4 linked regions of the Drosophila melanogaster genome follow. The protein of the gene in region 3 interacts with the protein of the main gene of each other region in a pairwise test. Each region holds a gene or a part of one and is shown on either strand. Other genes may lie near its edges. The genes, in order: CNT2, CG15347, CG1572 and lqfR.

Evidence for each region.
Region 1: the proteins of CG1572 (region 3) and CNT2 interact in a two-hybrid assay, tested with the Drosophila melanogaster proteins (one large-scale study listed by BioGRID).
Region 2: the proteins of CG1572 (region 3) and CG15347 interact in a two-hybrid assay, tested with the Drosophila melanogaster proteins (one large-scale study listed by BioGRID).
Region 4: the proteins of CG1572 (region 3) and lqfR interact in a two-hybrid assay, tested with the Drosophila melanogaster proteins (one large-scale study listed by BioGRID).

Annotation. Positions count from the first base shown.
Region 1 is NT_033778.4:9,076,830-9,082,904, forward strand, and holds CNT2 (concentrative nucleoside transporter 2), read left to right. Parts: upstream 1-1,891; 5' UTR 1,892-2,082; exon of another isoform or gene 2,083-2,112; intron 2,113-3,286; coding exon 3,287-3,340; intron 3,341-3,398; coding exon 3,399-3,594; intron 3,595-3,647; coding exon 3,648-3,849; intron 3,850-3,911; coding exon 3,912-4,676; intron 4,677-4,740; coding exon 4,741-5,068; intron 5,069-5,135; coding exon 5,136-5,316; intron 5,317-5,377; coding exon 5,378-5,463; 3' UTR 5,464-5,545; downstream 5,546-6,075. Other genes in the region: CNT1 (concentrative nucleoside transporter 1), read left to right, coding at 5,645-5,789, 5,841-6,075.
Region 2 is NC_004354.4:8,457,956-8,462,542, reverse strand, and holds CG15347 (uncharacterized protein), read left to right. Parts: upstream 1-1,644; 5' UTR 1,645-1,719; coding exon 1,720-1,777; intron 1,778-3,160; coding exon 3,161-3,319; intron 3,320-3,373; coding exon 3,374-3,846; 3' UTR 3,847-4,049; downstream 4,050-4,587. Other genes in the region: Es2, read right to left, coding at 1-478, 621-972.
Region 3 is NC_004354.4:11,554,545-11,560,631, forward strand, and holds CG1572 (uncharacterized protein), read right to left. Parts: upstream 4,094-6,087; 5' UTR 3,944-4,093; intron 1,895-3,943; exon of another isoform or gene 1,866-1,894; intron 1,803-1,865; 5' UTR 1,757-1,802; coding exon 1,640-1,756; intron 1,568-1,639; coding exon 1,382-1,567; intron 1,252-1,381; coding exon 1,072-1,251; 3' UTR 506-1,071; downstream 1-505.
Region 4 is NT_033777.3:22,409,422-22,417,313, forward strand, and holds the start of lqfR (liquid facets-Related), read left to right. Parts: upstream 1-1,879; 5' UTR 1,880-2,163; coding exon 2,164-2,216; intron 2,217-3,227; coding exon 3,228-3,429; intron 3,430-3,488; coding exon 3,489-3,858; intron 3,859-3,939; coding exon 3,940-4,036; intron 4,037-4,098; coding exon 4,099-4,856; intron 4,857-5,121; coding exon 5,122-7,889; 3' UTR 7,890-7,892. Other genes in the region: CG13850 (uncharacterized protein), read right to left, coding at 1-227, 291-1,001, 1,065-1,242.

The sequences.
Region 1 (6,075 bases), on a different chromosome or scaffold from region 3:
TTCTCTCCCCCGAACTCATGCTGGTCTTAAAATAATGTCTTGTTTTATATTTGTAACTTTAGGGCCAGTTGACTTAATTAGTTTTTAGTTCATCGGTTTGCCAACCGCGTAACCTTATTTAAATTATATTTTAAGTTTCGTTGTAAGCAGTGCCCATTTTCGGTCAAAATTTGATTTTATTTTTAAATCTCCTGTACTCTAGAAGCCTGTGATTTAGATGGGGTTGAAGTCGCACATTTTTGCAACAAAAATTGTCAAAGCCTCAAGAGGAAGGCAAGCCCGGAAAACAATTTATACGAATTTAAGTAATATATTTAGATGCTAAACAAAATTAATCAATGCCTTATCGAAGCATTACAATCCCTAACTTCTGCACAATTCCCTCGAAAACCAGCAAGCCAAGAACGAACCAAATCAAGCATTTTCGATTCTATTGATAAGTGATTAAAGTCCCGCAATATAGTTGTGTTACATCATAAATAAGTCACTAGGTTTAAAGTGCCTTTCTGCTAAATCTCAAAATTCCCCATTGGAACCCATTGACCCTTTGGTTTTAAGATTTTAAGAACCACATGTTCATCCAGTCAAAGCACATTGTATCCCTAATCCTTCATATCCATACCTACTAAGTGCATTTGCAAGTCGATAAATGAAATATAAAGATGAATATGATCTATTAATAAATTTAAATCGCACGAACACGTGTAGAGTTGCGAATCAAATATAAAGCCAGTTGACTACAGACTTTCTTGTATTATACCCCTTTTGGATCAGATTATCACACGAGGGGCTCGACGATAAGATACGATGCTCTTTCCTATTAAATCGCACAGAATTACGATTGGCAACCTCCTTTAACTTTGCACCCTTCGATTGGCCAATCAGTTGTGTCATTCTGCTAATCGCCGACCACCAATAGAAGTCTTTATCAATGGGCGGGTGTACGACTCGGTATCGCGGTAGCCTTCCTCTATCGCAATATAGCTATCAGATTCCTCAAACGTCATCGCTATCGCATTCAATCTGCTGAGGGGTTTATGGCCCTTCTGAAAATTATCTGGCACTAATATCGGCCTAGAACGCATGCCGAGAACATCTCATTGTTAACAGCCAGCTGATAAAACAGGCAACATGTCATCTCAATTGCCTATTTAGCGGTACACTGCCATCGCAAGTGTATTAGGATGCACAGGGAAAAATAAGTATAAAGAACTTAAAAAGATTATCAATCGAACCTACTTGAAAATAGGGCAATTGATCATCATTAACTTAATATTAGACTGATATATCTCAATAAATATTATTTATAATATCTTCAAAGAAATTTTTTTTTATTAAAATAAGAAAAGTATAAGATGATTGAAACCAATGTGGATTCTAATATTATCTGCCTGTTTTCAAATGTTATTAAATTATTATTTTTATTTTATATTATAATTTTTTAATTGATATTAAATTGATCTTTTTCATCAGTGATCCATTTTGCGGCATTGCACTTTAAGTTAAAACTCAATTTGTAAAAATTGAGTTGGTACAATCAAGCTAATATTTATTTAATAATTATTTCACTGTGTAGTTAAACCAAATTAACACCTTACCAATCGGTATCACACAGTATTAGCTGGGTACTCAAGTACCCATTGATTGCTATGATGAAATAAAAAGCCTCATTAAATATTAAAATCGAGAAATTACAAATTTCTTACGAGCTTTAATGTTAATTTGAGGTAAGCTTTGCTCTCAACTTATATTTCTGTAAATCAAAAAGGCCAAATGGTATCAAGACACCATAAATTATTAGATAGAAAAAAGGCAGTGCGAATCCTAAACCTGATACCTTCTTATCAGATACCGTGTAGTAGCGATTGTATTAAAAAGGCCCGTTCGGAGCAAACCGAATTTAGTCTTGCCGCGAGTTTCAACGAGCTACAATGGCAGTTAGCCAACGTTTTTAGTCTGGCTAAACAGATGCATTTATCAGTCATTTGTATTCGGGCAGACAATAACGACGTTAAAAACCCGTTTCGGCCATAACAAACCTATAGTACTCATCAGATACGAAGCAAAACAAACAGTAAAAAGGTGAATTAACTGTCGTTCCAAAAATTCAAGGTGCGATCATTATATAGACTTAAAATACAAACTGAATACTCGTATAAAAAACGTGTTTTTGAATGTGAACTCTGTATGATTTTAGTCAATTTTGTAGAAAAAACAATAATCGGCAAAAAACACGTGTTCTCGAGGCTGAATATACATATAACCATGTTCTCAGAGCTGGTCTATTAAATATAAGTGCTTTATTAACTTTCACGAGTTTGGCTAAATGCCACTCTGATAGTGCTATCAACTCTGTTTCGATTACCCAGAATGGAAAATCCTAACCGAAAGACCACCTAACGAGGAACTATACTATATTGAATGGGATTTACAGCCCGAATTTATCAGGAATGAGAATTGAAGTGGATTATTTATAGCCTGTGCTGTAGTTTACAGCCCAGTCCCGTTGTTGGCCTCTTAAGTTAATGCCCGGAAATTATTTGAGTGGCCATCCACGTGCTGGAGTTTAGTCATTGACTCTGAAAAACTAAGTGCCCAATTCAAAAATCCTGGCCCATGTGCAAATTTTAAAATTGGAATCCGCGGATCCTATCGCTTGCTTTTGAGTGGCATGAATCGTTCAAATTGCCAAACTTTGATTCAGATAGCTAACACACACCTATCTTGTGCTGTGCGACACTTGGCATATATGCCCACTCGAGTCGAGGGCTAAAATAATTTGAAAGAGATAATGCCAGATTATGATTGCGGCAAATTACTTGTCGCTGGGTATTAATACCACATACTCGTAGTTTTTCTCTAAGTATATTAGTTTCGTTTAGGGTATATAAGATATATATAGAATATATATAGAAAGAATTTGACCCTATAAATAGTATATTCTTCATAAGGATCCGTCAGTTGTCCGTCCGTCCGTCCGCATGAAGTTCGATATAGAACTCTAGGCAACTTTAGGCATGCAAGTTTGTTTTAAGCCGTTGCCACGCCCACCGATATCGCTAAAGTCTGCCCACATGCTTAACGTCTAAATAATGTTGTGATAGGCTTATCAAAAATAGGACTCGTTCAAATTGGACCATTAGAAAGGTATTAAGAGTAAGCTGAAAGCTTATTAACAAAATATAGCAAGTAAATTTGCTGCCAAAGCAACAACTCGCTTTGTTGTACCGGGTATATAATAGTCGATACACTTAACTTAAACGTTCTCTCTTGTTTTTTGTTATAGATGTCAGCCGAATCATCAAAAGGAGCTATTAACAATGGCTACGAACTGGATCATGTAGGTTTTTAATTAAAAAAGCTTTGTAAACCAGATTAAATATTATAAAATGTCATAGAAGGAGTTGGACATCCGTGACTCGGAAGAATTCACGGAACATCCACTGGATGACACCAGCGAGGTGGCAAATAAAAAGGGATATTTTGAAAAGAATCCAAAAGTAGCGCGACTGGTGAGGATCTCGATTTATGTACTGCTGCATCTGTGTGTTGTGGGGTACTTCTCATATGCAACCTACCACTATCACGACATAAGTAAGTATATCGCCAAAATAATTAGCAAGAAGTATACCATTATTTATCTACAGCCAACTATGAGTGCTATTGGAAAGACAACCCATTGTGCGGCATCAACTTCTGCACGGGCTATGGAATGCTCCTGCTCCTCCTGGGATTCATCTATTTGGGTCTATTCTACTACTATGTCTTTAAGCCGATGGTGGGGCACAGCCTGCACAGGAACTATATCAAACCATTTTCAAAGAAATGGCACAACTTCAGCAGAACCAGGTAAACTATTATGAAGAAAATATATGTTTAAATCTTCTAACTACTCCTCTTCGTTTTCCCAGAGTTGTGTCATTGGCCAGCATCGCATTGCTCCTGGCCCTTTTGGCCATCTTTGTGTACTTCGAGTGCCGGGACGAGACCCAAAAACTGGTGTCCCTGGTGGCACCCTGCTTCTTCATCCTGTGCGGCTACGTTTTCTCCACGAATCGAAGAGCCATTAATTGGCGCATAGTCATCACGGGAATCACGTGCCAGTTTCTGCTCGGCATTTTCTGCATCCGCTGGGAGGTGGGACGAAAAATCTTCGAGTGCTTGGGCAACAAGGTGGCCACGTTTCTGGGCTATGCCACCGATGGAGCCGAGTTCGTGTTCGGCGACTTCCTGGTGAACAACAATGTGTTCGCCTTCGCCATCCTGCCGGTTATCTTCTTCTTCAGCTTCTTCATCTCCATCCTGTACTACATGGGTACAATGCAGTGGGTGGTGATCAAACTGGGCTGGATCCTGCAGCAGATTCTGGGCACCACTGTTTGCGAAAGCGTGACGGCCGCAGCCAACATCTTCCTTGGCATGTCCGAGAGCCCGCTGCTCATTCGGCCGTATATCAACAAGCTGACCAAGAGCGAAATCCACAGCATCATGGTGTCCGGATTTGCGACCGTGTCCGGAACCGTGTTGGCGGCCTACTTGTCATTCGGTGCATCGGCCGCGCACTTGATCACCTCCTCGGTGATGGCAGCTCCCGCTACTCTGGCCATCTCTAAGCTTTACATGCCCGAAACGGAGGAGAGCCAGACCTCATCCGATTCAATTGAACTGGAAAAATCGTACGTATTTCTAAGGCGCCTAGTTTAACCCAAATGTCTAACTAGTTCACTGTCATCCTTGTAGACAGGACTCTTCGCTGCTGGACGCAGCGTCCAGTGGTGCCAGCAACGCCGTGCCCATTGTTCTGGGCATTATCGCTAACATAGTCGCCTTCGTCGCCTTCATCGCCTTCCTAAATGGTCTGGTCAGTTGGTTTGGTTACCTGGTGGGTCTCGAGCAAATCGACTTCGAGTGGATATTCTCTAAGCTGTTCATCCCGCTGGTCTGGGCCATGGGGGTGCCAAAAGAGGATTGCGATATCATCGCCAAGGTGGTGGCCACCAAAACCATTATCAATGAGTTTGTGGCCTATGAGCGTCTGGGTCAATACATCGAAAATAATGATATCACTGTAAGTTGTAGATGGTGTGAAACCCATAGCTCATCTGGAAACTAACGTTTGAGGTCGATTTTTGTAGGCCCGCAGCGCTGGAATCGCCACATTCGCCATCTGCGGCTTTGCCAATCCCAGTTCCCTGGGCATCCTTATCGGATCCCTCAGTGCTATGGCACCACATCGTCGCTCCACCATTACAGCAGTGGCTTTCCGAGCGTTTGTGGTGGGCAGCATAGTCTGTTTCGTATCCGCCAGCTTTGCAGGTCAGTCGATAAACGATCATAAATATTTCTTATTATTTTAACTAGTTTTACTTTATTATAGGCATCCTTATACAAGAAGATGACGAGCGGGCGAACTACAACAGGATATTCGAGAAGTTGGGTCGAAAGAATGTTACTCAGTTTTAGTTCCTTAAAGTTGTAGTTCGTGATAATTAGCTGATCAAATTTAGCAAAATACAATTCTTATTTATTAAAGATGTTTAGGATTATTTTTACCTATTTGTTTACTAAGGGGCTGTGGGATATAAGTCATAAGATCCACACAACACTTCTTTACACTACACACTGTTTCTCATTTATACACACAATGGCAGAACCAATAGAAGGCGAACAGGAGGAAAAGCCTCCGCCATCGAGGGCAAAGCGAATCACCTATCTGGTACTCCATGTGCTGCTCCATATCATATTCATATCTTACTTTACGGCAGCCACAATCATTTTCATCTTTTACGGTAAGTTACCCCTTTGAGTTCGAATGTAAATGTTTATGAGGAAAAACCCAGACAAGGATTCCAAAGAATGCTGGCCCAATAGGGGCTCGGAAGCCACAACCGAATCGATAGATAACTCAACCGAAGATGATGATGATGATGATTATGACACAGAAGAAACTTCTGAGAAGCCAGTGCCAGAGGTTAAGCCAAAACTATTGTGCCAAATTAACTGGTGTCATGGATACGGGTTTCTCATCGTCTTGTTCATCTTGTTTTATATCCTATGGCTGTACTACTGGGTATT
Region 2 (4,587 bases), 3.1 Mb from region 3:
AGCCTGGTGGCATTGTGTTGGATGCTCTGCTTCCGTTCGGCCAACTGGACGCGCTCCTCCTCTGTGTACTCCACGCCATCGGGCACGTACATAATGGAATTCATGTTGGTGTAGTTCCAGGTTTCGATCTTTCTCAGCGGATCTGGCTCCTCGAATTGCGTTTCTATGCTGGGCAGCATTAGGGCCCGCTGCAGTTGCTCTGCGGAGAGCTTCTCATGGTTGTACAGTACTGCGTATTTTTGGCGCAGCTTGGCCTCGGCCGTTTCGATGATCTCCTGAAAGCTCTGGTTATCCTCGCTGGTGTACTTCTGCAGAAAGGCGTCCAGCGATAGCTTCGCGGTGGTGTCCCTGCCCTCGGCATCGCTCTTCTCGGAGCCGTCCGTGGAAAATGGTGTGTCTGTGGCCCGGGAATTTGGCAATGGGGTGTTGCTACATTTCGCCTGACTCACTGGTGTCTCAAATGTGGCCGGGGACATGGCTGAAATGAAGGAATTCAAAAAGTTAATGGGTCTATCTATTGAACTTGGCCAATGTATAATTTCATCAGACTTGATTTCAAGTAAGATAGTAGCAGACAGCGATGTGCCAGTGGTGTTCATCCAATTGAGTACAATACCCACCATTATTCCGTCGGCTGGTGCTTCTTCCTGTCCCGGAAATCCTGCCCAGACTGTAGCGCTCCCGAATCTCGGCCATTTGTACAAAGTCGCGCCGTGACTCCGCGTCCAGGTAGTCGTTTTGGGCACGCAGCCGCTCCAGATCGGGAAAGAAGTCGCGCTGGATGATCTTAGACATCTCCTCGATGTACTTCTCCTCGGTAAGGATCTTTGGCTTGTTCTTGTGGCGCACCATCGCCGTGGGCTTTTTAAACTCGGCGAGTGCTGAATTCTGGACGCGGGCCACTTCCATGGCCAGGCTGCCGGGAGTGCCAGGTGTCCCCGGTGTGGCAGGTGTTCTAGTCGTGGCGCTCATTGCCGTTTATATCTCGCTTTTTTCGTAAATAACTTTGTTTTGTTTAGATATAAAAAGTGAATATTTTTGTCTGCCAGCAAAGTGTGACCGTTTTAAGTTTCACTCAGAATAACAAAACGTCGGTTCAAAATATTTCCCTGTATTTTTTTTTAATTCTCGGATGTAAAAGGTGAAATTAATCAGCTTAAAAGTTTCGACTTCCTTTACAATAAATTGGTGAGTATGAACCAATTTAAATTTAAATAGAAACAAAATGATATTTTGCTAAACTATATTAATTAAAAACTCTGGCAAGGAGTACTTATCGACGTGTTATCGATAAGTGTGGAACGCATTCAAATGCGCGCTAGCATTTGAATTGAAATTTTAATGCGATTAGCTAGCACTTGAAAATGAAATTTATTACGATTTTGCAAACATTAAAGATATATTTTTAAAACATCTGGAAGTTTCGCAAGTGCGCTGACTAACCCGCTGAACATAATTTATGAAAATGAATGTATGCCAAAGAGCGACAACTTTAGCGTCGTGAATCATTTCAAAACACTTTTTTTTCTCAACTCACCAATAGAATTACTGTTGTCGTGGTGCCTTATCGTAAAGCTGTAGGTATATATGAATAGGGTATAAAGCTCGGCAAAACTCAAATCACTCATTGAACCTTTTCTACTCCCTTAGTTCTGGTTCAGCTCCGTAACCAGTCGCAACATTCGATCGTCGTGAAATTAGTTACATCAGTTATCAGCCATGAAGTTTTACCTGTTGGTGATTGCAGCCCTCTCGTTTTTGGCCTACATCAGTTGTGGTAAATGTTGTACCTGCCTAAATGTTGTTCCAAAATAAGTTTCACTTTTAATTTTCATCGGGATCGTATTTTTTTTTTTTTAATTTTCTTTTTGCTCTTTGAATTGAAAAACTTATTGAGTGTTTTATATAAGGTGTGATAAGCGGTGATATCATGGACACGGAAATAAATTCATGATAAGCTATCAATAGGCGAGTTTCCAAAGAAACTTTTAAAGGTTCTTAGCTTTGTAACTGGGCAAACATATTCTTTTTTTTCTAAGTGTGAGTGAGCCAGCAAAAAGATGTGAAAATTGTACGCCATATATTTAAACCATGTGTACATACAGCTGTGTTCAAAAAAATAGCAGTGCAAGAGAAACTAAGAAATGCGACGGTTTTTTTTTCATGTTTCGGGATCGAATTTTTATTCCACTTATTTTTGTGAATTGGAATGTGTAGATAGGGAAAAAAAGAAAATGTCGTTAGTTTTCTATGCTATCCTTTTTTTTATTTACATTCTTGAGCAAAATCACAACTTTTAGGCTGTTCAACAGAATAGCAGTGTCTGGTTTTGACCAACGTAAACTCCCGAAATGATCAATATTTTCTAAAAAGTGAGTTTGAATTTGAATTTGAATTTGTATATTTAAAAGGGCAATAAATTAAAAAAATAAAAAATAAAGAAACGCAGAAGCAAATCGGCTAAGAATAAGTTCGTTCTAAGTCAAGTTGAATTTTGTTACTATTTTTTCATAGCACTGCTATTTCTGCTTGTTTTAATCTATATTTTCGAAACTATTAAAAAAATGAATGTGAAACATTTGTTGAATTGTTTAAAATTAAATACCTAATGATATTATAAAAAAAATTTTCCCATTAAAACTTGAAATCTTAAGATTTTTTTATTTTAAACTCAAGCACTGCTATTTTTATGAACACAGCTGTATGTCAGCGGTAATTTAATTTCTCTTTGTGATGAAGTACATAGTTATTCCGTTTCATTATTAAAGTTGAAACATAATCTCGTACATTCGTACTTTCATGTAAACACTTGGTAAATATTTAATATTTACTGCCACCTGATATGCTAAATATAATTTGCTTGCAAGCTTTCGATTTATAGCCAATGTAAATTGACTCTTCTTATCAAAAACATACAAGTTTGCTGATTCACTTGTCATGGGCATGTTCGTAAGAATCGATTGTGGAAAATCGAGACAATTGCCATCCGAGTACAGTGCGCGTCATTGTAATAAGGCATGCAGGTAGATACATAAAAAGAAATAATCAAACACATTCAAACACATATGCACTGTGGTAGGTAGGCAGACTTTGCACGAAATCAATATGATGTCATTATGCCAACGCAACGATTACGAAAAACTTGATCTAATCTAATCAGGCATGACTCAATCGAAACGCTCCGTTCCACTCGCTCAATTTGCAGATGGATGCATCCAGTGCAATTCGAAGGACAACGAACGCTGCGCCACAGATCCATTGAGCCTGCTCAATCGCAACTGTTCCGATGGATCCTCCAACTGCTATTCCCGCGTCCTGGGTATGTTATCGCATTGATTACCCTGGCTGCACCATCTAATGGTATCTTTCGCAGATGGCTACACAATTCGCGGCTGTGCCGTCGATCTGGACAACGCCACGCGTAATTCGTGCAACAACGAGCTACTGTGCCAGCTGTGCACCTACAGCGAGGGATGCAATCGAAACACCTTCCCGTTGAGCCGCCTCATGTGCCTACAGTGCACAGGGAACTCGACCTCGTCGTCCTGCGCCACAGAGACCTATGTATCGGCCAAGATCTGCCCGCTGTACAAGTTCGGCGACAAGTGCTACATTCGCAATAGCAATCGCACCGTGGACGGATCCTTCCAGCGCGGCTGTCTCACCTCGGCGAATGCCAGGAAGCAGTGCGTCAAGGATGGCAACTGTTATACGTGCGAGGGACGCGGCTGCAACTTTCTGCTGGCCAATGATACCAACATTCCGCTGGCACGCGACAGCGGTGCCCAGTTGATCATCTCCATGACGCTGCTGATCAGCGGTCTTGTCGCCGCCTGGAGACTCTAAGATGTAACGACGGCCAGAGTCGAATGATGGACGAAAGTCAATCATGCCACAGACCCAGTTCTTTTAGAAATTCCCGTCTTATTATTTTCTACATTCTAAAACATCATTATACATACATACATACACTGGGATGTTACATTTATACTCGTTTATTTCATTACTTTGAACAAAACGTTAATAAAGATAACTAAACTAAAGAAGACAAAAATAGAAATGGTTTAGTTATTACATTTTGGGATTGGGGGATAACCAAAACGTTGCTCACTTTGAACAGTTCTTCATCGTAATGTTTTTTGAAGCAAAAGTAAGCATAAAACTTTAATGCATAAACACAGTGAACACACATTTCACTTTTTACGAGGTGTCAACGGGTTGGCACTGCAGTTGACAACATGCCACTGTGTTTATGAAGTCCCGATTTCAATTGCGATACCCTATACCTCTATTCCTCGATTCCGATCCCAGACCAAGAGAAATCGACGACGAGCCGCAAGTACCGGAGTGGCAGTTGGAAAACCGGAAGCTCTCGGCGCAAATGAGGAGTGCATAAATGTGTCGACGCCTCCGAATGTTTGTCAATTACTTTTCACGGCTCGCTTTTCCGGATGCCATTTTCCATTCGATCGAACTGGATGTGCGGAAATAGATCAGTTTTGTGCATGGTACTCGGCTCCAGCGATTTGTTAACTAAACTAACTATTTATAGGCAACATACGTACGTGGAAATATATATACATATGT
Region 3 (6,087 bases):
ATATAATTAAATGTAATTCTTTTTTTTTTCGATAATCATATCTTAATGCTTGATATACGAGTTGTATTTATTAGGCGAAACGTTTGTGTGGTCGGCGATCGAAGGAGGGTCAGTTAATTGTTAAAGAAAAATGCTTAATTTATCGTAATCGATTACCCTTTTCTTTTATATTTAATACTTGCGTGTACTTCTCTTAATTACTATGATTTTTTTTTTTAATACACCTAAACCACTTATTTGTGTTTACTGTATATGTAAATTAGTAGTTAAAGGCGAGGGCTTTATGCCCATCAACAGATAATAAAAACTGCGCCAGAGGGAGCGAGAAGTGTGTTTTAATTATTATTAGTAATTAGTAATTTCAATTGATTTTTTGTGTTTAGAGAATCTATTTCTATGAGAAGACAAACAAAGATGCAAATTCTATTATATATTATATTATATAGTAATTATTTTATAGATAACTAATTTAAAATATATTCAATAAAAACCATAAAAATTACCACCACGTTTTTTCTATTACTCTTTGGTATTAAATTAAATGAAATTATGATTTCATCGAATTTATATATTTGCTTGCTAACAGCAACATTTCCCGCATGGCCCAAAAGTATGCAACACTTTTTACGATCGGTTCAAAATCAAAAAGTACAAAGTACACTGGCCAACACAATTAAAGCATGCCGACAATAAAAAACTATTGCAGCTGAAGCAACAAATAAACAAACTACTACACATTTAGAAAAAACATATAGACACACATCTTTATTCGAATACATGACAATCTGTTTGGTACAAAAGAAAGTGAGACAAAAAAAAAGTTTTGTATATATCGGTAAAAGTACAAGTAAGTGTAACTAGCGCCAAAGAACGTTTCACAGTACAACAAAGATTCCGCCGCTTGGCACCCACTTTCTCTACATCTATGTTTGTATATCCCTGGGCTCTCGCCTCCTTCTCCTGCTTCGCATGACCAGTGGCTAGAGTTGGTTGTGGGAAGAACAAATGCTTCGAGATTGCAAATTCCACTTGAATGGCCGAGTGGGCGGTGGGTTTTGGGTGCTTTAGTGCTTAAATGCCGCGATAGGATCGGTGGGCCAGGAAGGCGCTGATGAAGTACAGCACCGCATTGACCAGGCCCAAAACACCGGCTGCCATATAGGCGTCGTGCTTTACATCGCGCAGCTTGAGCAGCAGGATGGTGGACGAGACCAGGATCAGGATGGCGGCCACACTGTGGTAAATCAGCTCCTGCAAAAAGGTTAATGGTCGTTGAAATGCACGGATTGCAGATACAAGGCGAAGTATATATATGTACGTTTGGAGTTCCATGGCTAATACTAAAGTATACAAAAGATATAGCAATGATGATTATACTCACATAGATCGTCTTGGCAATAATGCCGCCCGTGCTGAGCGACGTGAGGCAGGCGAGGAGTAAACAGAACGTTCCTATCATAAAGGTAACGGCCATCAGATAATGGAACAGATCCTGCTGGCCATAGAAGTATCTGTGGTAGTCCTGGTAGTTGAACGCCAGAATTCCCACAATGGAAGCACCAATGATCTGCGCAAAAAATCGTGATGGTTGTTACATTAAGTTCAAAGTTGCTATCGAATTCTGGGAGCATTAACGCACCAGCTCGAAGAGCTTGAGGATGCCGGGGAAAGTCTTCAGATAGCCCGTGTTCAGGACAATGTAGGAGGTGTTGGTGGTGCTGGTGGTGGTGCGGGTAATGGTCACTGAATGCGACATCTTCGCTCTGCTTCGGTGGTTCTTTTCGGGGGGTTAAAGGTGGGGTCTGCAAAGACAAATAAATAAATGAATAAACACAAAAAAAAAGTAAAATATTGGATGCTAATACCAATACAGAAATATAAGAAACTTCGGTGATAAGAACTGAAATTAAATAATAATACTTATCAAATTGTAAATGCTTAAAATTCGTTGAAATAAGCCAACAAATTTGCTGGTGATTCATGCAAAGTATATTTGCATCCATGTGTTAATTTATGGTTTAATTATTTGATTAAAATGAGTAAGTCTTAGGTTCTTTTTCTTTCACTTATATTCCCCGAATATCGTAATTCATATGGTGTGTTTTTATTTATTTATTGCTTTTTTTTTTTGTATCTTTTGTACTTTTTGGCCAGCTGTTACAGATCGAACGCCCTTGCCACGCCCATCGATCTGCAATGTATCCATACAATGTTTGTGTATTTTTGGCCATCCATTTGTTGCTGTTTTTGTTTTGGATTTTTGCTTTTTGTCTAATTTTAAAACAATTTTCAATGCCGGCCTCGCAGGCGAAAAAGCGCCAAATGCGTTATTGAAGCAGTGGGAGAATCGGAAAAATCTATTTACTTGACCGACGAGAGAAAACCCCCCCGCCCCATACAGAACCACTCCTCTCCCCCCGCGCAACGATTTCCCCCCTTTTTGGGGATCGGCAGCGAACAAAATAGATGAATCGCTCTCGTCTATATGTTCACCTAGGATTGGATATATGTAAGTCTGTATGTATGTACATATATGAATGTATGTAGATATGTATGCATAAACGTCATGAACTTTATGGTCTGCTGCCTGCTGTTCGTTGTGGAAAAGCTGAAGGAAAACTGAAGAAAAGCGCCTCGTTCGTAATTGGGACACACACACACACACACACACACTTTAAGTATACAGATGCCGTGGGTGGGCATAATGGTTATAGGGTATTCGCAAATGCCGTGCCAGATCTGGAAATCAGATTGTGACTATAAGTTCTGACTTCAGATTTGACGATTGGTAATCAAGCCGAATAACATTGTAGGCAAACAAATAAAACCAGTTTAGCTTAAAACAAATAACAAACGGAAGGATAGTGAGATTAATTCCAAATTAACTGCTCTGCTATAGCTATATTTGCTATATTTGGCTTAAAACAAACATGAGTTAAATAAAAGCCTTGTAAGACCCATACAGAGGAGTTGAAAATCGTAACTAATTTTATATTCTTGATATTTTAACTAAGCAAGGAAGAGATCAATTTAGAAAATACCAACGAATTATATTGTTTTAGGAAATGTGCTCATACAAGATTGATGGCAATTGGAATGGGGTTGGATTTCAGAACTTAGACCTTCCTCAAAATCGGTGGCGCATTAGACGAGTTCAAAAACGATGACGCCACCGGTGACGCAATAGTTTACACACAATGTGAATGATGCTCATCGAAATTCACAAAAGTGGTAGAGGCACATACATACACATACATATATACATATGTATATCCCAGTGGCATGGAAGGGGTGCGGCCCAAATTCCGAAGCGTAATACCGAAACCAAAAACCGAAAACCAAAAAAAAAAATAATAATAAGAAAACAAAACAAAGCAAAAACCAAAATAACAAGAACCCATGTGCGACATTTTATCGGAATTAAACAAAATACATTCCGAATATTGATTAGATGGCGGATTTCCGCCGAAAAGCGGTATGATATCATGCCTATGATGTACGATAGTTTAATTCGCATGCCAAGCAACTTGGCCCAAGCAACAGGTTGTTGTTTTGGGCCCTTTAAGATTCCTCTTTGGAACCGGAAGAGATGAACAAAGACGCCGCTTTTGTCAATTTCCCAAATGACAACAACTAATCAATATACATATGTACCAAAAGGCAAGCTATCAAATGTTCTGCTGATAAGAATATTTCCCCACTGCAAACGCGACTCACATTCGGTTTCGCATTTTCAACTCTGGAAATGATATCATCGCCGTCAATAATAATGCAGTTTAATGCTTGTAGGAGAAAAAAAATTAACAACATATTAATGCACAGCCAAGTACCGAGAATTCCAATTCCTTTTGCTTTTCGAAATGTACAAAAAAAATATATAAAAAAAAAAAAAAAACAATAAAACACACATATAGTCCCAGCGGTAGAAATGGGTGGTATGTACCTCTTTCTCTCTCTGTATATCTAAAGTTTTCGGTATGGATCTTACTCTTACTTTTCTCAAAATTCGGCGTAGGACTCAGCCAACTGGTTTTCCTCGCACTTTTCTTTCGACTTTTGCGTCTTTTCGCGCGCACGTTGCAAACGAAACTGAAACCGAAACTGAAAAATAAAAGCGTTTGGCCCGCTGCCTCTGCCACAGTTTTCAGCGTCGCAGTCGACGCAGCCGAGACGAAAACAAAACAAGACCCAGCAGAAGCCTTCCAGGCCGATTTACTGCGACTCGACTTGGGGGATACCCTGCATCACTTAGAACACTTCACAAGCGAATTAGGTTGGTAGTACAAAACATGCATTGCAATTTTTTAAATATGTCGCTTTTTGGGCCAAAAAATGCGAAATAATGGTCCAAATATGGATTGTTATACCTCGTTGAGTTCGTATTCAAAATTCTACTCAAACTGTGTTTAAAATTTGGAATATTAATTTTATGCCATTTTTCGCAAATTTTGATGATGTTACCCCTTACCAAAAATGCGAAAATCGACCCAAAAATTAATTTTTCAAAATCCATCAAAAAGTGATAGAGATAGTTAGTAGTGGTAATTAGCTGCACAAAACAGTCATTCCTGCACTTTTATGACCATTTTTAGACAAGTTATGATAAAAACACGCTTTATTTAAATCGTATTTTTGGCCGAAAGTCGTTTTCCAGATTTAAAGGAAGAAAATATTTAGTTTTTTGGCCACAACATTGGAAATAATGATCCAAATATGGATTGTCATACCTCGTTGAGTTCGTATTCAAAATTCTAATCAAACTGTGTTTAAAATTTGGATTTTTAATTTTTTGCCATTTTTCGCAAATTTTGATGATGTTACCCCTTACCGAAAATGCGAAAATCGACCCAAAAATTAATTTTTCAAAATCCGTCAAAAAGTGATAGGGATAGTTAGTAGTGGTTTTTAGCTGCACAAAACAGTCATTCTTGTACTTATATGACCATTTTTAGATAAGTTATAAGAAAACACCCTTTGTACATATCGTATTTTTGGCCAAAAGACGTTTTCCAGATTTAAAGGAAGAAAATATTTAGTTTTTTGGCCACAACATTGGAAATAATGATCCAAATATGGATTGTCATACCTCGTTGAGTTCGTATTCAAAATTCTAATCAAACTGTGTTTAAAATTTGGATTTTTAATTTTTTGCCATTTTTCGCAAATTTTGATGAATACCGAATATGCAAAAATCGACCCAAAAATTAATTTTTCAAAATCCATCAAAAAGTGATAGGGATAGTTAGTAGGGGTTATTAGCTGCACAAAACAGTCATTCCTATGCGTTTATGACCATTTTTAGACAAGTTATGATAAAAACACCCTTTGCATAAATCGTATTTTTGGCCAAAAGACGGTTTTCAGATTTAAAGGAAGAAAATATTTAGTTTTTTGGCCACAACATTGGAAATAATGACTGGTCTATGCCACCCGGATGCGTTTTCATCCAGGGTATCAGCAAGGCAATTCAGCCAACAACGCCAACAAGTTGACTTGACTGCTGGCTAGCGCGGTATAAATGACGCCTGACGTCATGATGTCATCGAGTGAGCGGCAGAGCAGCCAAGCAGCGGAGCGGCCAACCTTAATATTTGTAATCTTCAAGTGCAACTAGGCCCCCGGCCACGCCCCCTTGACACTGTTCATTGGCCGCCCACGGATTGGCAATTAAAAAGAAAGGAATTAAACTTGCTAGTGGAAGCTCCTCGGACTTTTTCTCTGACTCAGCGCCACCTGAAAGTGGAGAGTGAGAAAAGTGGGTGAGGGCGATAGAGAGTGCACTGAAAAGAAATACTAGTGTGTGTTCATATTAGAATTAGAATTATTATATAAATATGTAAGATATGCATAATCTATCTAGTACCACAAAGTATATATGCACACTGAATTTATATGATTAATAATATCTGATTGATCTGCTCGTACATTATTTATGGATAACCCCATTTATAAACAACATATCTATTACCAATGATATCCAATACCATGTCTATAACCATTTGTTTATATCATCAATTACAAAGCCATAAAAACTTTGATAAACATAATATCACTTTCGGTGAAGTAACGCGAAATTAGATAGTCTTT
Region 4 (7,892 bases), on a different chromosome or scaffold from region 3:
GTGTTCTACTAGACCCAACATTGTTAGCGACCACACAAAGCTCAACCACTCGGATTGCTTGGTAAAATCCTCGCGGACAATAGACTTTACTAGCTTTTTGCTCACTTCCTCCAATTGAGCGCTTTTGAAGTTTAGCAGGGCCGATGTTAGGAAATAGGCACTGAGATCTTGGGGGCGACAGATTTCACTATTCTTTAAAAGCCACTGCGTAAGTGATTCCAAGATATCTACCGAAAAAAATAAATTACATTAATCACAACTTTTTCTGATGTGTTTATATCCGAGCTAACCCAAATCCCGGTATCGTAAAATGCCCAGGCTGGTGATAATGGATCCCACAACGGCAGACTTCTCCACATTCTTAGGCAGCGCCGATTGCACATCCGCACACACTTTAGCGCCTAGAACAGAATCCTGGAAATTCAACGTGGACATAGCGAACAGCACATCCCCCGCTTGCTTTAAATCCAGCGATTCCGACGCGCTGCTGATATTAAAGGCCAGGGAGCGCAAGAGAGGAGTACTACGCCTCTTCCGCTGGGCCAGGGTGCTCATCACCTTGACCATCTGGGGCAGACTGATGCTAGCTATCAGCTTAGCGGCCTCATCGTCACCAGCTACGCCAAGCACCGTGTTTAGGTCATCTGTTCGGAAGCCGGAAATCCGCTTGGCCGTCCCATTGTCACCAAGGTCCTTGTTGTTAGCATTATTATTTTTGGGAACCGTCCGGCCCAACATCCGGCAAATACGTAGGAACCTTGTGTCGTTCTCGAATTCCGAGATCTTTACTCGATTCAAGGTGCTCCACTCGGCCAGTATGGAGACAATTCTGAGGGCATGCTTCCTCGAGAAGCCATTGTTGTTCTCCGTGATAGTTAGCAGTCCATTGACTGTCTTTGCGTTGATGATACGCTCATCGATCTTGCTGGAGGCTTGGCTTTTGCTCTCATCTTTGGGATCGTCGTTTCTAAGGGATTCGAAAGCAGCGGCTACCATGTGGCCTGCAATAAGGATGGAGTGAATACCAATTAGTAAGGAGGACAACAATTTTAGAATCTACCTACCCCTGGGCTTTTTGGCCGCCTCCTCCACAGCCGGCGCGCGTGCTTCCGGCTCCACTGCATCCGATTGTGCTCCAGTGGGCGCCACGGGAATGCCCGCTGCCCGGACACTGCTGCTGAAGGCTGCACGGCGGTACAACTGGGTGACAAAACTGCCGGCAAAACGTTGTAGTCCCAACATTTTCAGTCAATCCACACGCTGCAAGAGACCACAGAAGTTTACATAACCTTTTTGTTTACATTTTTAGCGGCCAGGAAGGGGCTTTACAAAGCATGCCAATGATATAGGCTTATATTCATGACTTGAACCGTCTTATTTCCCCTGATATCCTTCACGTTTCATTTAGTATTTTCATTTATTTTAGTAAACTTTCCTATTGAACGTTGAGAATCCACAGATGACAGCAGCGTTCAGCTGATGGTAGTGTAGGGTAAGACCCGTCGGCTCCATGCAAAGCTTTTGTAACACTGCGAGCTGTGCTGCCAACTCAGCATTTTCTAGCTAGATCTGGCGTTTTTTATTCCGGAACTTAGGTGTCATTGCATGTGCTTTCGGTTATTTGGTAAATGCTTCCAATTTTATTACTATGCCGATTTCTCTTTGTGCTTTATTAATAAGAAAACTAATGTTTTATTGAACTATTTCGGTTATTGGTAAATGGTTCCCATTTTATAACTATGCCGATTTCTCTTTGTGCTTTATTAATAAGAAAACTAATATTTTATTGAACTATTTGGAGCACAAATTTAAAAAGCTAATTTTCATTAATAACGGCTACAGCTATTTATCGGATTTAGCTACACTTGAACAGTGAGAGTTGGAAACACTGTTTGCAACACTGGACACGACAGCTCACCAAATATTAGCTGCTGTGATTTTGTTTTACAATTTTCGTTTAAATTTTTACATTTTTGTTTGCGGAAAGCGCGGGTGCGAGACAGGTGCGCCGTTTCCATGCAAAAGTGCAAATCGTCAGCTGCAAAACAGTCAGAAAACGGCACGCCAAGCGAAAACGAGTTCGACGTCTTGTTGTAGTTGGATTTTCCAGCCACTTTTCGACGAGATTGTGTGAAAAATTCCGTAGCATTCAATAGTCTCAAAATGGTGGATAAATTCATCAGCATGTGGAAAGTGCGCGAATTGGCGGACAAGGTGTAAGTGATCAGGAATATATAGGATATATCCATACGTATATGTAATGGGATGTGTGTATAACATTCCCTTAACGCCGAAGTGAATGTTAAGACTCCCACGCCCCAAGTTTTCTGATTTCCCGCCACGCCCCCAACTCCTCAAGGATTTCAAAAGCCCTATGTCATGCATAAATCCCTAATAATTCATAAAGATATCTTACTTATGGATCAACTGCATCGGGGTGCTGGATTAGGTTCACGTTTTTAACTGCTTTCAAGGTTGTTCGCCATTTCAAGAGAGCTTTACCAACACAGCCACATTCCGATATTGATATCCATGTGTATATGCGCCTGTGTGTGTGGGGCTTTATCAAGAAACAATTTGTTTGCTTTCGACTGCCCAAATATAACAATTTTTTCACCTGTGTTAACAGCTCCACTTCCAGGCTTTCCAGTGAAATGGGTGTTTCTCTTTCCCCCATCGAATTATTAATTATGGGTGTCCCCTTTCACCTGCGCCTTTTATGGGGTAGTTATTTCTAAAAGCGAGCCTATAGTTCGAATAAATAATGGTGGCTCGATAGCCAACACCGAACTCATTAGGTTAAGTGCGCGGGTACACCTTTCCTAGGGCTTATCTCGAACTGATAAGGAACACCTAGATGGCCCATTTGCGACAATTGGCCCACTTCCATCACGTTTCGAACGTCTATCAACGTCGCAGCCAAGCCATGCGTATTACTTATTTATCTGCATCTTTGCATTGTATATCCATATCGTCACACAACGTTTACTTAAAAATACCAGTTCTGATTAACTGGCCCTCTATCTATTTGATTATCTATTCAATTGAGTTTACGGAATGTCCCAGTCAATATGCCTTTTTTCTTTACTTAAGTATATATCAATTATTTAAGGAAACAAGCTCGGATTAAGATTTGTATTTACATATGTACAAAAGTTCTACGACTAACATCGTGAATAGTTAATAGTTACTTTAAAATAAAACAATGACTTCGTTCCCACTTGCAGCACCAATGTCGTGATGAATTACACGGAAACGGAGGGCAAGGTGCGGGAGGCCACCAACGATGATCCTTGGGGGCCTACAGGACCCCTCATGCAGGAATTGGCCTATTCCACCTTCTCATACGAAACATTCCCGGAGGTGATGTCCATGCTGTGGAAGCGCATGCTGCAGGACAATAAAACCAACTGGCGACGCACGTACAAGGTAACGTTTTCAGTTTAAACTAATAAATATAGAGCTAACGAGTATATATTTACTTACAGAGCCTCCTTCTGCTAAACTATTTGGTGCGAAACGGCTCTGAACGGGTGGTAACCTCCTCTCGGGAGCACATCTACGATCTGCGCTCGCTGGAGAACTATACATTCACCGACGAGGGCGGCAAGGATCAGGGTATTAATGTTAGGCATAAGGTACGAGAGCTTATAGACTTTATTCAGGATGATGATCGTTTGCGCGAGGAGCGCAAAAAGGCGAAGAAGAACAAGGACAAGTACATCGGCATGAGCAGCGACGCCATGGGCATGCGAAGCGGTGGCTACAGCGGCTATAGCGGTGGATCTGGAGGAGGCGGCGGTGGCAGCGGTGGCTACAATGATGGCGACTATCGCTCTAGTCGTGGAGACAATTGGTGTAAGTAAGAAATTTTTATTTTTTTAAGATTTTTGTTCAAATTCTCTATATGTAATATTAATATTGATGATTTTTCTTCAGACTCCGACAAAAGCGCCGACAAGGATCGGTATGAGGATGATGATACTCACTACGATGGAGAGCGAGAGGGATCCGATAGCGACTCACCCAGTCCAAGGCAAGTTTTCACTTTTCCGATTAACCTGCTCTATATCCTAATGTACTCTTTTCTCCTCACAGACGTAACTATCGATACAATGACCGTGCGAGTCCTGCCGAAGTAGCCAGCGAGGCCAAACCTTCCAGCCTCAACATGAACATTCGTTCGAAGACCGTCAGTTCCCCTGTCTCCAAGCAGCCCACTTCAACGGCTTCTGCCAAGCCAGCGCTGTCCCAGAAGAAGATCGATCTGGGTGCGGCAGCAAACTTTGGAAAGCCAGCTCCTGGCGGTGCTGCTGGCATTCACTCACCAACTCACCGTGACACTCCCACCAGCGTGGACTTGATGGGCGGCGCTTCGCCATCGCCGTCTACTTCCAAGGCAAACAATAATACGCAAAGCAATAACAACGATCTGCTGGACGATCTGTTCAAGACCTGCTCGCCACCGCCGGGGCAGGAGAAGACGCTGAACAGTGCTGCCGTGATTGTGGATGACGATGATGACTTCAATCCGCGTGCCAGCGATGCTAGCCAGCAGGAATTCGGCGACTTCGCCTCTGCTTTCGGGCAGCCCTCGGCGGGATCGACGATCAGCGAGCCACCATCAACGGGCCTGGTTCCGGCTGCGAACGATGAGTTCGCCGACTTTGCGGCGTTCCAAGGCTCGACAACGTCGACATCTGCGCTGGACGGTAATTTGCTGAAGACTGCCACGCCGGCGAACGATTCGTTTGACCTGTTTAATTCAGCTCCCACCTCGACGGCAGCAGCCACAACGGCTACAGATCTCCTGGCAGGCCTGGGCGATCTGTCCATTCACCAAAGCATGCCCATGGGTGAGTTGTAGTTTGATTCTTGTAGCTTAACATATTATTAAATTTGAAATAGTTTTAAGATTAGAGTAATTGCATTGGCCTTAGTCACTTCATGATATATTTAGGTATCGCTGCATGAAGGTGCGCCTTCCGAGCTTGACTAGAGCCGTTATCTCTACCTCGAGCTCCACAGCCCACACAAAGATACACTATCTCATCCTCCCACATATAAACGGCAACATTTTCCAATCGGATGCACTCGTTCTCTTCTCGTTCTCTCTCGTAGCTGTTGAAGAGCAGTTGGCATCCAGTAATGATTCGATGTCGTCGGCTTCCCCACAGCCACCATCTGAGGCAATGCGTCTAGCTTTTTCCAAGGCACAGAAGCAGCTGCGCGATTTAATGCAGGTCCAGAGCGCTTCAGCCGTTGCCCAAGTAGCAGCTATTTTGGGGGAACTGCATAACTCAAACGCACTGCCCGGATTTACCACACCTGAGCAGTTGGTTGGCCTCGATCGTCAGACGTGCGACTGGACCTGTCTTGCCCATGGAGAGTATGCCGCATTGCTGAATCAATTGACAGAGCTATTCAGCCAGGATTGGCCAGAGCCATCGCAGGATGTTGAAGTCGTTAACATTTTTAAACTGGATCACAGCTTTGATTATGTATCGGTTGCCTTTGAGTCGCTTCAGACTAGATTGGATAAGTTTCCCAGTACTATTAGTTCCTTACTGGAAAACATGGTTAAGGATGAGAGCCTAATTTCTATCGCCTTGCTGCACATCTCCCGCCAGAGAGCTTCCTTAATGCAGCGCTTTGCGCGGACCATCAAAGTTATGCCGGAAAGAAAAGTGGAGGAGCTGGATGCCCAGGTGAAAGCGTTCTTTCAATTGCTAATCAGTCTGCCAGCCCAGGTGGCCAATCGACTGGGTAGAAGACTGCCAGAGACGTTTGCTCCAGTTTCTTATCAGAAACTCCTGCTGCGCCAGTGGCTGAAATCCTTGCACTTTGTCCTACAGTGCGATGATAATAGGGAATACTTTGATTTGGAACCGTACTCCTGGCTTTTGTCACAGGCTATTAACCTTATTTACGATGTTTCAACTTTGGAAAGCCTCCTACGAGTACTTAAGGACTACGCGGTGGCTCCCAGAGGAAGAAAAGTAGTTCATACCATATTAAAAGAATTGGATCCCGCTGCTTGCCTAAAAACAGCACAATCGGCTCTTTCTGCGGGATTGAACCTGTACGTTCTTATAGGTGCTGCCACTTTGGAGACACCTCATTGGAAGCATTGCCTGCTCCAGAAGTTGCCTCTTCAACGCACACCCGTGGATAATAAGCAGCTTATAACATTGGCCAGTTATCTTAACGCCGTAGCTCCTGCTCAACTGCAGGTTCTTTTGAATCAGTTGCTTGGAATCTGGTCGAAGCGCATTTCCTTGCAGAAACTGGGCAGCCAAGAGCACTTGGCTATATCCAAATTGCTTGTGTTGGCGGCAAAATGCCTTTGTGGGAATCTTGTAATGGATTTGAACATCCAGCGTCAGCTCCACGATGGACTCAGCAACCATTTGCAGTCCCCAGATGCACTGCAGCGTCATGTGGGAATGAAGACCGTGGAGCTAATTTTCAATTTTATTGCCTTGCCTGATGCGAAGGAGGATGATCGTCTACGATTTGAGTACGATTCATTTAAGGATACATTTCATTGGCACATCTTCGAAGAGTTTGATGAACTTGGCCAGTTTGAAAGCCCGAGCAAAACTAAGCTAGATGAGAAGCCTTGTGAGGATCAGCTGAAACAATTAGAACTTCATCTCAGTGACTTTATGAGTACTACAGAGCAGAAAGAGCCGCATAAGCCGAATATTGAAATACAAGCGAATCCCGCTCCCGAAAATCAGAATGTAAACATGCAGCTGGACTCGGATGACGACGAGCCACTGGATGAAGACGACGATGAATTGAAACCCTATGACATGTCCAACGATACAACCACCACCATTGATCAACGTCCCAAATTCGTCATCGACTTACTGCACTTGCTCCGAGAAAAGGTGGAGAATTATCAGGTGTTCGAAGGAGCCTTGGGCACAGCGGAGCAACTTATACGGGGTCAGCTGGCCAAACATGATACTCAGTTGGCCTTGGATCTGCTACAACTTTTCTTGGTCATGGAAATGCAGTTCTACTATGAGCAATTCGAACGTACGCAATTTAAGTGTTGCGTGGCCATTTGTGTGGCTCATCCTGGTCCCTGTGCCGAGTACCTATGCCGCCAGTTCCACACGGATAACTCCTTCTATTCGGCCAGTGTCCGTATTCTGATCCTTCAGGTACTGGCAGCAACGGCGAAAGAACTTTCTGGCGATGAAAACATGCAGAATGAGATGGAAATTGTGGATGTTATACCACCGGCAGCCAAGCATCCCCGAAAGTTCGAATTTCAACAGGAGGAGGAGAGTCCGGCCGCTCGTCTGGCCGCTGCGCAAAGGATCATCCGCGACCGGCTGCGGGCCAAGACGAAGAGATATTTCAGCAAGCCCAAAGCTGGAGATCAAATGGAGAAGGCCAACCCATTTCACCCCGTTGCCGGTACATTTTTCTTCAGTTTGGTGAGGGGACAGCGCACCCGTCAGATGCTTTACGTAAAATACGAAAATATTTCTCACGACATCGACACCCAGTTGCTTGTTAACCTGCTAAACACCATGTCCGTGTTGGTTATGTGCTCCCAGAACTGTCCACTGTTGCCAGCGATGACCCGCGAGATCTTTGACCTATGCGCCTTTGTGCGTTTCAATGCCGAGGCCCGCGTCCGAGCGGCCACATTGCAGCTAATAGGAATCGCCTTGGTAACCACACCAGCTCATGTGCTGGCCCAGCACTTTGCGGAGTCATTGAACGAACTGCAGCGCTGGCTGAATGACTTCATAAGATCGCCATTGGTGGGCGGAGAGACTTCGGAGGAGTGTCGTGAACTGGCCCAAAGCATTTTGGACACCTGCTACAAACTCTTTGATACAGCCGCCATGGAACAGGCTGCCTAACTT